3 linked regions of the Sus scrofa genome follow. The protein of the gene in region 1 purifies or fractionates together with the protein of each later gene. This does not show direct contact. Links are inferred from orthologs where the notes say so. Each region holds a gene or a part of one and is shown in the gene's direction. Other genes may lie near its edges.

What was found.
Region 2: the proteins of RFC5 (region 1) and ATAD5 purify together in Homo sapiens (affinity purification with mass spectrometry; 4 studies listed by BioGRID and IntAct, counting the BioPlex papers as one, with this or other methods). This does not show direct contact. The link is inferred for Sus scrofa from reciprocal best matches to the Homo sapiens genes RFC5 and ATAD5.
Region 3: the proteins of RFC5 (region 1) and RFC1 purify together in Homo sapiens (co-immunoprecipitation; 6 studies listed by BioGRID and IntAct, counting the BioPlex papers as one, with this or other methods). This does not show direct contact. The link is inferred for Sus scrofa from reciprocal best matches to the Homo sapiens genes RFC5 and RFC1.

What each region holds. Positions count from the first base shown.
Region 1 is NC_010456.5:34,635,950-34,639,598, reverse strand, and holds part of RFC5 (replication factor C subunit 5), read left to right. Parts: intron 1-1,378; coding exon 1,379-1,458; intron 1,459-2,125; coding exon 2,126-2,199; intron 2,200-3,305; coding exon 3,306-3,465; intron 3,466-3,649. UniProt on the Homo sapiens protein: Subunit of the replication factor C (RFC) complex which acts during elongation of primed DNA templates by DNA polymerases delta and epsilon, and is necessary for ATP-dependent loading of proliferating cell nuclear antigen (PCNA) onto primed DNA.
Region 2 is NC_010454.4:42,917,605-42,921,948, reverse strand, and holds the start of ATAD5 (ATPase family AAA domain-containing protein 5), read left to right. Parts: upstream 1-1,510; 5' UTR 1,511-1,919; coding exon 1,920-1,967; intron 1,968-4,075; coding exon 4,076-4,344. UniProt on the Homo sapiens protein: Has an important role in DNA replication and in maintaining genome integrity during replication stress.
Region 3 is NC_010450.4:30,573,305-30,576,953, reverse strand, and holds part of RFC1 (replication factor C subunit 1), read left to right. Parts: intron 1-1,423; coding exon 1,424-1,528; intron 1,529-3,649. UniProt on the Homo sapiens protein: Subunit of the replication factor C (RFC) complex which acts during elongation of primed DNA templates by DNA polymerases delta and epsilon, and is necessary for ATP-dependent loading of proliferating cell nuclear antigen (PCNA) onto primed DNA.

The sequences.
Region 1 (3,649 bases):
GAACTCTTCTTCTAGTTTTGTTTTATGTTACGAGTTAGTTGCTCTGCTGGTGGTTGGGAAAGAAGCAGACATAAGATATTTCAGTTCAGTTTTTTCTTTGACATTTTGGCCTCGATTGGTATTAACTAGAGGACAGTGGTAGGGCTAGGTGTTTTTCTTTGCTCTTGCCAACTTTTACCCAAACACTCAATGGTCACTGAGTTGCTGGCCCTCTCCTGTGCGCCCACCCCACCCCACCCCCAATCCCTTCTCCATGTTGCTCCGCCCTGTTCTTGCCCTGGAAGTCTCAGGTCTGTTGACTTCAAGCTCTCCTGCCCTCTGGCTCCTGGTGAGGTTTGGGTCCAGTGGGGGCCCTGGCAGGAGTTGGGGAAAGGAAAATGATGTCTGGTCCTGCTCTGGGGTCGCCACAGGCTGATAGCTTCCCCACCCGGAGGGCACAGCACTCAGCCCTCCCCAGGTGCCAGCACCACTCCCCACCAACTCTTTTAGACCTGGGGGTAATGATGGGCTCCATTAGCCTCTGAAGTATTACATAGACCTTGTGGTTTCCCCACACCTCACCAGCACCTTCTTTTTTTTTTTTTTGTCTTTTGTCTTTTGTCTTTTCAGAGCCATACCCACGACATATGGAAGTTCCCAGGCTAGGGGTCAAATTGGAGCTGTAGCCACCAGCCTACACCACAGCAGCTCGGGATCCGATCCGTGTCTGTGACCTACACCACGGCTCACCACCGGATCCTTAACCCACTGAGTAAGGCCAGGGATCAAACCCTCATCCTCATGGATACTAGTCAGGTTCATTAACCACTGAGCCACGACAGGAACTCCCCTCACCAGCACCTTTTAAAATCTCTCTTCATTTAATTTGCTTCATTTACTGAATTTGAGTATGGGGACTAGATTGATACACTTAGATAATGAAATTCTAAATATTGTCTATTGTACAAAAAAAAGTTTAGCTTACCTTTTTGTTAAAGATCTTGGAACCTTGCTGCTACCAGTGTTCTTACTTCCATGTATTAAAAAACTTGGTAATGTATGGGTTGCTCTGGCTTGTGGTAGCTAAAATTTATATCATTCTGCATGTGCCAGAAGTGCTGTTCACTGTGACCGGACCAATTAATTATTCCTCTTGTCAGTGATTGTCCCCAAAAAGGGGAGGAAAGAAAGTCATTTACCTTTCAGAATATATAGTAATGATCTAGTGAGTTGTGATTCTTAAATATAATTGTGACCTTGTTTTTAATGATTATCTCATATCTGTCCTTAGACCTTGAAACCTAGCTTGCTGAACAGGACTGATGAAAAGATACAGTAATTCATGAATAGCACACCAACATGTTTTCTATTCATTCTGGCTTCTCTCTTTCACATTTAGCTGAATGCTTCAGATGACCGAGGAATAGATATCGTTCGGGGACCAATCCTGAGCTTTGCTAGCACAAGGACAATATTTAAGTAAGAATTCTTTGCATAATTTCTCCCCCTAAAGATTTTGATCAGTGAGATGATAGAGTTTAATTTTTAAAACTCTCTCCTTTGCCAGTTTGTAAAGGTTTAAAAAAAAAAAGAAAGCAAACTTTGTCAAAAGCAGCCATGAAAAAGAGAAAAAGCACAGGAATGGTAGTAAGAAATATTAAAGTAAAATATTATCTAAATCTGTATTAGAAGTTCTCTGGGGAAGCAGTAGTTTCACTTAATTAGTTAACAGGGCTGGTTACATCATCAAACTGGATGAACTAGTTTGAATTTAAACAAAGTGAACTGAGATCAGGGTGGATAACTAGGATGGTGGAAAAAAAGGAAAAAGATGAGAAGACAGGCTTAAGTAAAGGTGGAGGGGAAAGCAGCACTGGAACAATAGGCTCCTTTGGGGAAGAAAGATGGAGGTGCCAGAGGACATAGTCTAACACAAATACGGAAATTAGAGTTCATTCTCTTTGAGATTTGAAGCAGGGATGGGGTGTTTGCTCCGTGTGACCACAGGTGGCTGCTCTGGTCAGAGTTCTCAGAGAAACGAACTCTGAGACAGGGCCTGATGGCACAGATGTGAAGGTGTAGGTTTGGGCCTGGAAGTCGAAGTGAGATGGAAGAAACCTTTAGGTGGTACCATTTGTTTTCCTAGGAAGGGCTTTAAACTAGTGATCTTGGATGAAGCTGATGCCATGACTCAGGATGCCCAGAACGCCTTGCGGAGAGGTAAGGAGCACTGCTGTGTGTGTCAGTGTTGGCTGAGGCATGCTTTGGAAGAATTAAGAACTCTAGACATGATGTAGGACGTGGCTTCTTTCAAGTTTTTATTCATCTTCTGGCCAAGAGAAATCTCTGTATGCCTTTCACCATGTATCCCACCTGATGAGCTAGACAAAAATCTCTGTATCAGGGGTAACCCCTCAGTAGGTTAAAGACATAAGCCCTTTGGGGACTTTAAGGTATGACACACTGGGGTTTCATCTGCCTTTTCTACTACGGTCAGTTTTAGGGTTGGGCATTTATATTGTTTGATGGGCTAGGCCTCTCTGCTGCTGGTACCTTTAGATACAAAATGGCCAGGGAACAAATACTAGAAATTTAGTTGCACTCAGAAAACTGACATTACTTCACCCTTTCCAAGAGAATGGTGTGGCAGAGGAGGGAGAGTGTACTGTGATTTGTCAGTCTTAAGGTGCCTGGTGCATTTAATTTCTCTGCAAGTACATTTTTAATCTCTCTCATGAAGATTCTGCAGTAAACAGCTAGGAGAGAAGATCTTTAGGGGTTCTGGGGAGGAGTGGAGAGCAGCCCATGTTTAAGAGGAGGAGGAGGAATATCTTCTGGTCCTAGAAGCTTTGGCAGCCTTCCTTCGTCATGTTGTGTGGGGGTCTGTCTGGACAGGTCCCAGCCTGTGAATATTGGTAGCTACAGGATGAAACCGCTGTCACAAGCATCTCTGAATCTGGGTTACCGCTCTCTTGAATGCTCTAAGGGTTTGAGACAAGGTCCACCGGGAAATCCACAAAAAGCACCCCCTCCCCCACCCACTAGAAGGTGGAGCATCATCCATCTGCCAAACAGAACTTTATGCCAAAGGACAGGATTACTAGGTTTCCTATCTTAATGGAATGGCATGGCAAGAGTGCCAGAATCGTGGCCAGCCATGGAAAAGGAAGCATTTTGTACAGTCCTGAGGAGGTGACACATTCACCAGGTCTGGAAAGAGAGTGGCTGATTTCCAGTCTTTGACCCCCTCCAGGGACACCCTCTGGGTTTCTGGGTCCTTTGAAGACTCCGAATGGATGTGAGGTAGTTTTCTTTTCCCTTGCCAGTGATTGAAAAATTTACTGAAAATACCAGATTTTGCCTCATCTGCAACTATCTGTCAAAGATCATTCCCGCCTTGCAGTCGCGGTGTACAAGGTTCCGATTCGGCCCCCTGACTCCTGAACTCATGGTTCCCCGCCTGGAACATGTTGTAGAAGAAGAGAAGTAAGTATGTTAGAAAGTAGGGCAAGGGGAGGGCCTTGGGGACTGAGTGTAGTATAAGGCGACCAGCTGGTACATTTGTAAAGGTGATAAGGTTTGTAAACCACTCAGGAGAGAGACTGGTATCTCACAGACATTCTTCATACACGTCAACTGGGGATTTCCCTTGGTGGTGAAGTGGGTTAAG
Region 2 (4,344 bases), on another chromosome or scaffold:
TTTTTTTTCCCCCAGTAGTGTGCAGGGACTTGCTGTGGGATCTTAGTTCCCAGACCAGGGATGGAACTAGGGCCAAAGCAGTAAAAGCACCTAATCCCAACCATTAGACCATCAGGAACGCCCCTATATTGCTAACTTTCATGTAAAGGAAGACAAAATGAAAGGCTTTTCTATGGATACATATACGTTCGTAAAAGTATTAATAAAGGCTGCAGTGGTATCCACGGAATAGGTGATATTGGCTACCTTTAGAGTGAAGAGACTGAGTTTTGGGGTGGAAATCAAGGACACTTTCAGATTTTTTTCTGTAATTTTCTAATTGATTTTTCCTCCTTTTCCTCCTCCCTGCTCTTGCTCCTCCTTTTTCTCATTCTCCTCTCCCTCCTCCTTGAGTGGTTGGTGTTCCCATACCCAGTGGGTTATTAAAAAAACAAACCATAACAACAAAAGAGTTTATATTTAGTGCAATCTCCCTAAAAACCACATCCAAGGCAAATAATTTTCAAAGGAAAAGTAACTACCATTTATTTCATCGGAAAAATTTGTACCCTTCATGTTGTCCAGACATAAACCATACACACAGACAATAATGTGAACAGTTAAAATCAGTTTGCATAACCCGACCTAACAAGGTGGCTTCCCGTTAATATTTGATAGGTACATTTACCTGTTTTGTTTCAGCCCTTACATATCCTGCAGATAAAACTATGGACTCAAAGAAAATAAACATACTCTTGTATATTGCAAGTTTAATGTAAAAAAGCAAAGTAAGGCAAATTCATGAAAACAATGAAAATGACGTATGAGATTATCATCACTACAAACTAGCAAACTACAGGTACCCTGCGACAGCTGGAACACACGCCAGCCAGCTGAGGCCATGAACTTGGGCTCCTGGCTTCTTGCTAGGACGAAATCCATGGGAAAAAATGCCTCCTGAGCTCAATTAGGGGTAAAGGTCAATTCTCGGACCCCTAGTAGGTAGCGAGGTAGGTCGCTTGCCAAAGTAACATTTTAAGTCGTGTGGAAGGAGTGTAATCAACAGCTATTCCCTTTCCTGTATTTTTCGAATTTACACTTAAATGGGACTAGTCTAGGTCGTCAAAAGTCTAGGGTTTTAATTCTGCCACCAACGGACTTTAGTCAAATCACATTCTCATCCGTGAAACTGGGGTGAGGAGTTTGAATCTCCAAAATCTCCGTTACTTTTACTTGTTTTTCAGCCGAACAGGTGGAATATGGACGTTTCGGGGCCAGGGATGGAATCCCAGCCGCAGCTGAGACGTACCCCACATACTCTGTATTTTGCAGCTACGGCCAGGCGAGATCCTTAGCCTATTGCGCCCGACAGGGGGATCGAACCGCTACTCATCAGCGACCAGAGCGGTTGCGGAAAACAACGATCCCAGCTACGTTTAGAGCCAAATGAATAATCCCGCCTCCGGCAGTTTCGCCTAAGAACCATTTTGGCCTTCTCGGCTCACCGTCCGCGCAGCCTCCGGAAGCGATCTAAGCTCCGCCCCCTGCGCTCCGGACGGCGCGAAAACCCAATTGACAAGAATTCCCTGGGAAGCCCGCGGGTTGGGTCTACGTTTGGCCTGGTTTTCCCTCCGAGGTCCTGGGCCCGACGTCGGAATTGGAGTGTCCTCGTTGGAGGTACCCCCCACCGACCGCGCTACAGGGTCCTCTTCGCGCTTTCTCACCACCTCTTCCCGCGTTCGAGTCAGCTGAGCTCTCGGCCCAGCCTTTGCGACCACCCGGGCGGTGGACGCGGGGGGTTCCAGGCAGACCCCGCGGCCCAGCTTCTTGCTCCCGTTGGAGCAGGCTGCCTCCATGGCCTCCAGACAGGTCGGACCGGGCTGCGTAAGGTCCTAGGAGCTGGGATTCCGGGAAGCAGGGAGCATGGTGGGGTCCTGGCCATGGCGGCTGCAGCTGCCACCCCTCCGGTGAGGGATTACGAGATTGAGGTGAGCTTGAGTATCTCTATTTGTTGGAGGTGGGTGAAAGAGGGTTCTGATCTAGGATCTATGAGGGGAAAGAAGGGACCTGGTGAGGCCCCTTTGTTGTGTCTTTGGGTGGAACAGTCGCTGGAGTGTGTCCTAAAGCCGCGGTAGGTACCCATAAACATTAGGATTGAGGATGTTGAGGGGCCTAGTTAAGGACCAGTTTATAGATCCTGAAATGTTCCTGAAACTTGATAATTTGGACTAGTGAAATGTCATGGAGTCTTCCAGGGTCAAGTCTGGATAAGGAATCACAGAACTTTAGCGTGGAAAAGAATCTTTTTGTCCACCCACCTGTGCTAGGAATAGCACTTGGTGTGTCACTACAGGAATCAAACAAGGTACATAATTTAAAAATCACTTTCTCATTGCTCTAGAACTTAAGATACTGCAGGAAGAAGTCTCAGCTTGGTATGCTGTTTATTCTTATGTGTTCTAGTTTCAGTGAAATGCACTAAAGAGATTCTAATGTCATAAAGTAGTGGAGTATCATCAAGTAGACAATTTTGCTATATTTTCACACCTTTTCATCCCAAGCTAGCCTTGTAACTGACATATGCATACTGGTGTCATTGAAGTGAGCCAAGACATAGGTTCACTCACTGAACTGGGACTGTTTCTTACTTTTTAGTATTGAGTACTTTTGGGAGTTCCTGTTGTGGCTCAGTGGTAATGAACCTGTCTAGTGTCCATGGGGTTGCAGGTTCAATTCCTGGCCTTGCTCAGTGGGTTAAGGATCTGGCATGGCTGTGGCTGTGGTGTAGGCTGGCAGCTGCAGCTCCAGTTTGACCTCTGGCCCGGGAACTTTCATTTGCTGTAGGTGCGGCCCTAAAAAGCAAAAATAAATAAATAGAATTGAGTACTTTTTGCCTTCTTGTTAATATTTGTTATGCAGATGCTTGTTTGCTGGATCAAGGCAGTTGCTGGGTTTGTCTTGGGTGTGAAGAATTTTTGATAACTTGAATTACGCAATTCTTGCTTTTTGTTTGGTCAGTTTCTGAATCTTTTTGTTACAATTTCTTCTTTTGGTGCCCTGCTTAGAGTACTATTTCAGGGCACCAAATATTGTTTAGTATTGTGACAGTAAAGGCCTTATACACATTATTTTACCTAATAGCAATCCTGTGTTGAGGTGTTATTATCTGTATTCTAAAGATGAGAGAAAGTTAAGAATTAAAAGTTGAATTAAGGTAGAAAAATAAATTAGAAAATTAAAAGTAATTTGCTTAGGGTCCCATGCTGGTAGCTTTCAGAGCCAGCACTCAAACTTAGATCTGCTTGACTCCAGAGCCTCTGGTACCATCTCAGGATAATAATAATACTAACAACTCATTAGCATTTCTTCTAATACATTTACCATTTCATTTTAAGATGTAAAGTTTTAATCTGTCTCTCTTTTGCCTCATGTTTATCCAAATGGTTAGAAATTTGCCCCAATGCTATGTATTAACTTCTTTGCCCACTAACTTGAGTGTAACTATTGTTACATTTATATATACCAAAGTCTTAAATATACATGTATCCTTTTCTAGTTTTTGTGTCCATTCTGTTAAGTTGCCTGCCTATTCATGTCACACATTCTTTCTTTTTCTTTTTTTTTTTTTTTTTTTGGTCTTTTTAGGACTACCCACGGGATATGGGGGTTCCCAGGCTAGGGACTGAATCAGAGCTGTAGTCACTGGCCTACACCACAGCCACAGCAATGCCAGATCTGAGCCATATCTGTGATCTACACCACAGCTCACAGCAACACTGGATCCTTAACCCACTGAGCAAGGCCAGGAATTGAACCTGCATCCTCATGGATACTAGTCGGGTTCATTGTCACTGAGCCACAATGGGAACTCCTAAAGCTCTTTTTCCCCCTAGTATATCATGTATATCAACTAAGGGAAGCTTCCTTTTTTTGTCCCATTACATAAAATAATAGATCCATGTTTAACATTTATGTTTTGAACTCCATATGCCACGGGGTGCCTAAAAAAGAAAAAAATACAATAGAATAAAATAAAATTTATGTTTTGTAGTATTTTGCTTGAAATAAGTGCTTTTTCCTTCTTTTAAATTGATAGGCATGCAAGAAGCGAAGGAAAGATGATGACAGAACTTCTTGTAAAACAATTACAAAATATTTATCACCAGTCAGGAAAACTGGAGACAGGGTTTTCTCTCCACCAAAATCCAGTAACATTCTGGATTATTTTAGAAAGACTTCACCCACAAATGAGAAGACCCAGACAGCAAAAAAGTACAAGATAAAGTCATCCACACCATTGCCTGCTGACCGTGGCAAAGCCTGTAAAACACCTTTGGAAATGTCCTCAAATACAGAGTGTAAGAA
Region 3 (3,649 bases), on another chromosome or scaffold:
GTACTGCTGTGTTCTCAGCAGAGTGAAATAGCCTGCTTGCCTTGGCAGGGGCTTGCATGTGACCATTTGCAATAATGTCTTCTACATAGAATGAAATGAAAGAAAAACATGGAAAAGTAATTTCTTTCCTACATTATTTCTTCTCCACAGAAGTATTGTTTGGCTTCGACCCCAGGATTTTGGTTTTCCAGCTGAAGGCACAGTTCCTGTTTACTTGGCTGTCTTAGTGTACTGTTCTAGTTAAAATCTTTTTTTGAAGACAAGCAAATGCAGTTAGTTAGTCCTAAGTATTGCTATATGTGCTGCTTTGGACTCCATCTTGTTTTTTTATTGGAAGCGCTCTTTATTGGAAGGTGTGTCAGATAGGATTGCATTTAGTTCTAAGTGATAGAATACCTGACTTACTGTGGTTTTGACAAATAGCTGCTTATTTCCTTATCTTACAAGAGTTCTAGAGGTAGGCAGGTGCAGCAGCTCAGGGTTGTAAACTAGGCCAGTTCCCTTCTCCACTTCTGTCATCCTTATTGCGTAGCTTTAGTCTTCGCGCATGTTACCTTGTGTTGCAAGGTAGCTGCAGCTGTCAAGGTCACGTTCAAGGCAGGAAATAGGGAGCAGGTGTTGTACTAGCTGGGATTGAACTTATGAGAGTTTTCCCAGAAACACCTCTTGTAGAATTCCACTTAAGTCTCATTGGCCAGAGCATCACATAGCCATTCAGAGCTCTACGGGAGGTTGAGGAGGATGAGGACTTTGTTTTTTTGCTTTCCTTTTTTTTAGGGCCTCACCCAAGGCATGTGGAAGTTCTCAGGCTAGGAATCGAATTGGAGCTGTAGCTGCCAGCCTCTGCCACAGCCACAGCAACACCAAATCTGAGCCCCATCTGTGACCTATACCACAGCTCAAGGCAACACTGGATCCTTAACCCACTGAGTGAGGCCTGGGATGGAACCTGCATACTCATGGATACTAGTTGGGTTCATTTCCCCTGAGCCACGACAGGAACTCCTAGGACTTTTGTGATTCTTATAACTCATCACTTGGAGATGGACACATTGGTGTTCTGTCAGCAAGGGAGAAGGTGGGAGAGAATGTTTGCCAGCAGATCAACCCTGGGAGAAGGTGTGAAGAGCTGGAATAGGCCCTTGTGGCGCTGCCCTTTGTAGGGTATTGGAAAGGAAAAGCAGTCTGCAAAAGTGGTGTGTACATTTCAAGTGCCAATCCGCCACTCCTCGGGGAGGTATCTGTTATTTTCTTTCTTTTTAGTATTACTTTTTTTTCGTGAATATGGTTTTAAAAATATTCCAGTATTATGTAATTTATGAATGTTTTTTACCTCCTGACAAGTCTGAGAATCATTATATATATTTTTGCAGAAATTAATGGTTAGGATGTGGTTTTAATGATTTGCCTTTTCAATCAATAGGCAGCAGCCTTGGGAACAAAAATTATTGATGAGGATGGCCTATTGAATCTGATTCGAACTATGCCAGGCAAGAAGTCCAAGTATGAAATAGCAGTTGAGGCTGAGGTTTGTATGAAACTTTATTTATTTAAGTTGGTGTATAGCAACTTTCCTGTTTCATAGAGATATTTCTTGGATGGATACAGACCTCTGGGCTAAAAGACTTAATTTCTCATTCTATTGCAAATGAACTTCCTTATTTCCTTTTGAATTAATTTTTTTTTTAGGGCCACATCTCTGGCACATGGAAGTTCCTGGGCTAGGAGTTGAATCGGAGGTACCGCTTCTGGCCTACAGCACAGCCACAGCAATGCCAGATCTGAGCTGAGTCTACCACCTACACCACAGCTCAGGACAGTGCCGGATTCTTAACCCACTGAGTGAGGCCAGGGATTGAACCTTTATCCTCATGGATACTAGTTGGCTTTATTACCGCCGAGCCACAATGGGAACTCCCCCTTATTTCCTTTTGAACAGGGGGACTCTGCTTTAGGCTGTTGTCTTTGACATATTTCCTTACCTTTGTCAAAGGAGTATGAGGAGAGAAAGAGGATAATGTATTGCACTTGTCATATCTACTTATTAAACTGTTTTATTTTCCATATTCTTGGAATAACTGTACAAAGATTATTGCTCAAGAGTTCTTTAAAGAATATATTTTAGGTGTCAGCGGGATAAAATCATTTTCAGTTAGAACTGTATTAAGACTTTTTCAGTTGTAACAGGAACCCAGCCCTTATTAGCTTCAGCAGAAAGGGAAAAATTTGGACTCACATTGCTAAACCATGAGCAGAGTGAGTCTGATGTAGGAACTACTGACTGAGTCTACTGACTACAGTGCTTTTAGGGCCCTTTCAGTTTCTGTCTCTCTACTCCTAGTGTTAGCTTCATTCATTTCCCCTACATAAAAGTCTTTTCCATGTGTAAGATACAGAGGTGCCAGGAGCCCAAGTTAAATCTCCCCAGCTTTGTCACCCAAGTGGCAAGGTGGTATTTCCATTTATTCCAGTTAGGAAAAGCTTGGGGAATGATTTGGATTGGCCCGTCATCCCGTGTCCCCCAAGGCTAATGACTTACCTAACTACAGTGCAGTTATCAAAGCCAGGAAGTTAACATTGATACCACACTGTTAACTGAAGCTACATGTGATTTGAACTTCACCCCCCCACACACACACTGAGCTGCTTTTTTCGAGGATCTCACACTGCATTTAGCTGTATCTTCTTAGTCTCCTCCAGTCCATGATAGTTCCTCCAGTCTTTCCTTGTCTCTTCATGGCTTTGATTTGATGAGTAGAATGTCTCAGTGGGGCTGTTGTGGTTGCCTCATGATTAAATCAGGTGATGCCTTTTTGACTAGAAGACCACGTAAGTGTATTGTGTCCTCCTCAGTGCATCCTAGCAGCTGTGCTTAATGTCGATATATCTTATTACTGGTGATGTTAACTTTTACTACTCGGTTAAGAAGATTTTGGCCTGGTTTTCTGACCGGTAAAGTGACAGTTTTCCCCTCTATAATAAATATCTTGGGGAGATGCTTTAATACTATGCTAGGATCTTGTTTTTCCTCAATATTCACCCACTAATTTTAGCATCCACTCACCATGTTTTTTTTTTTTTTGAGACATTATTAATGCATCATAAAATCCACCCTTTTAAAGTGTATGCGTTGGTGGTTTTTAGTACATTCACAAGCTTGTACAGCCATCACTGTTGTCTCTTCCAGAACATCTCCTCACTCCTCCCTCAAACCCTGTACTGATTAGTAGTCACCTTTCATAACCATCTCCTGGCAACCACTGCTGTACTTTCTGTCCATGGATTTGCCTCTTCTGGATGTGTTGGATAAAGGAAAACATGTAATATATGGCCCTTTGTGTCTGGCTTCTTTCAGTTAGCATCATATTGTCAAGGTTCAGCTATGGTGAAGTGCTTTGGTGCTTCACTCCTTTTTATTGGTCATTAATGTTACATGGATATGTCACACTTTATTCAGTCATCAGTTGATGGTCATTTTGGGTTGTTTCCATTTTTTGCCTATAATAATATAATTGTTCATATAAAGTGTAAGAGTGATGCTGCGAACATTCATGTACAAGTGTTTTGGAGGAATTAAATTTTAACTCGTCAGAAAACAAAAAATTCTTATTCCTTCATCTTTTTTTTTCAAACTGATTTTATATTATTT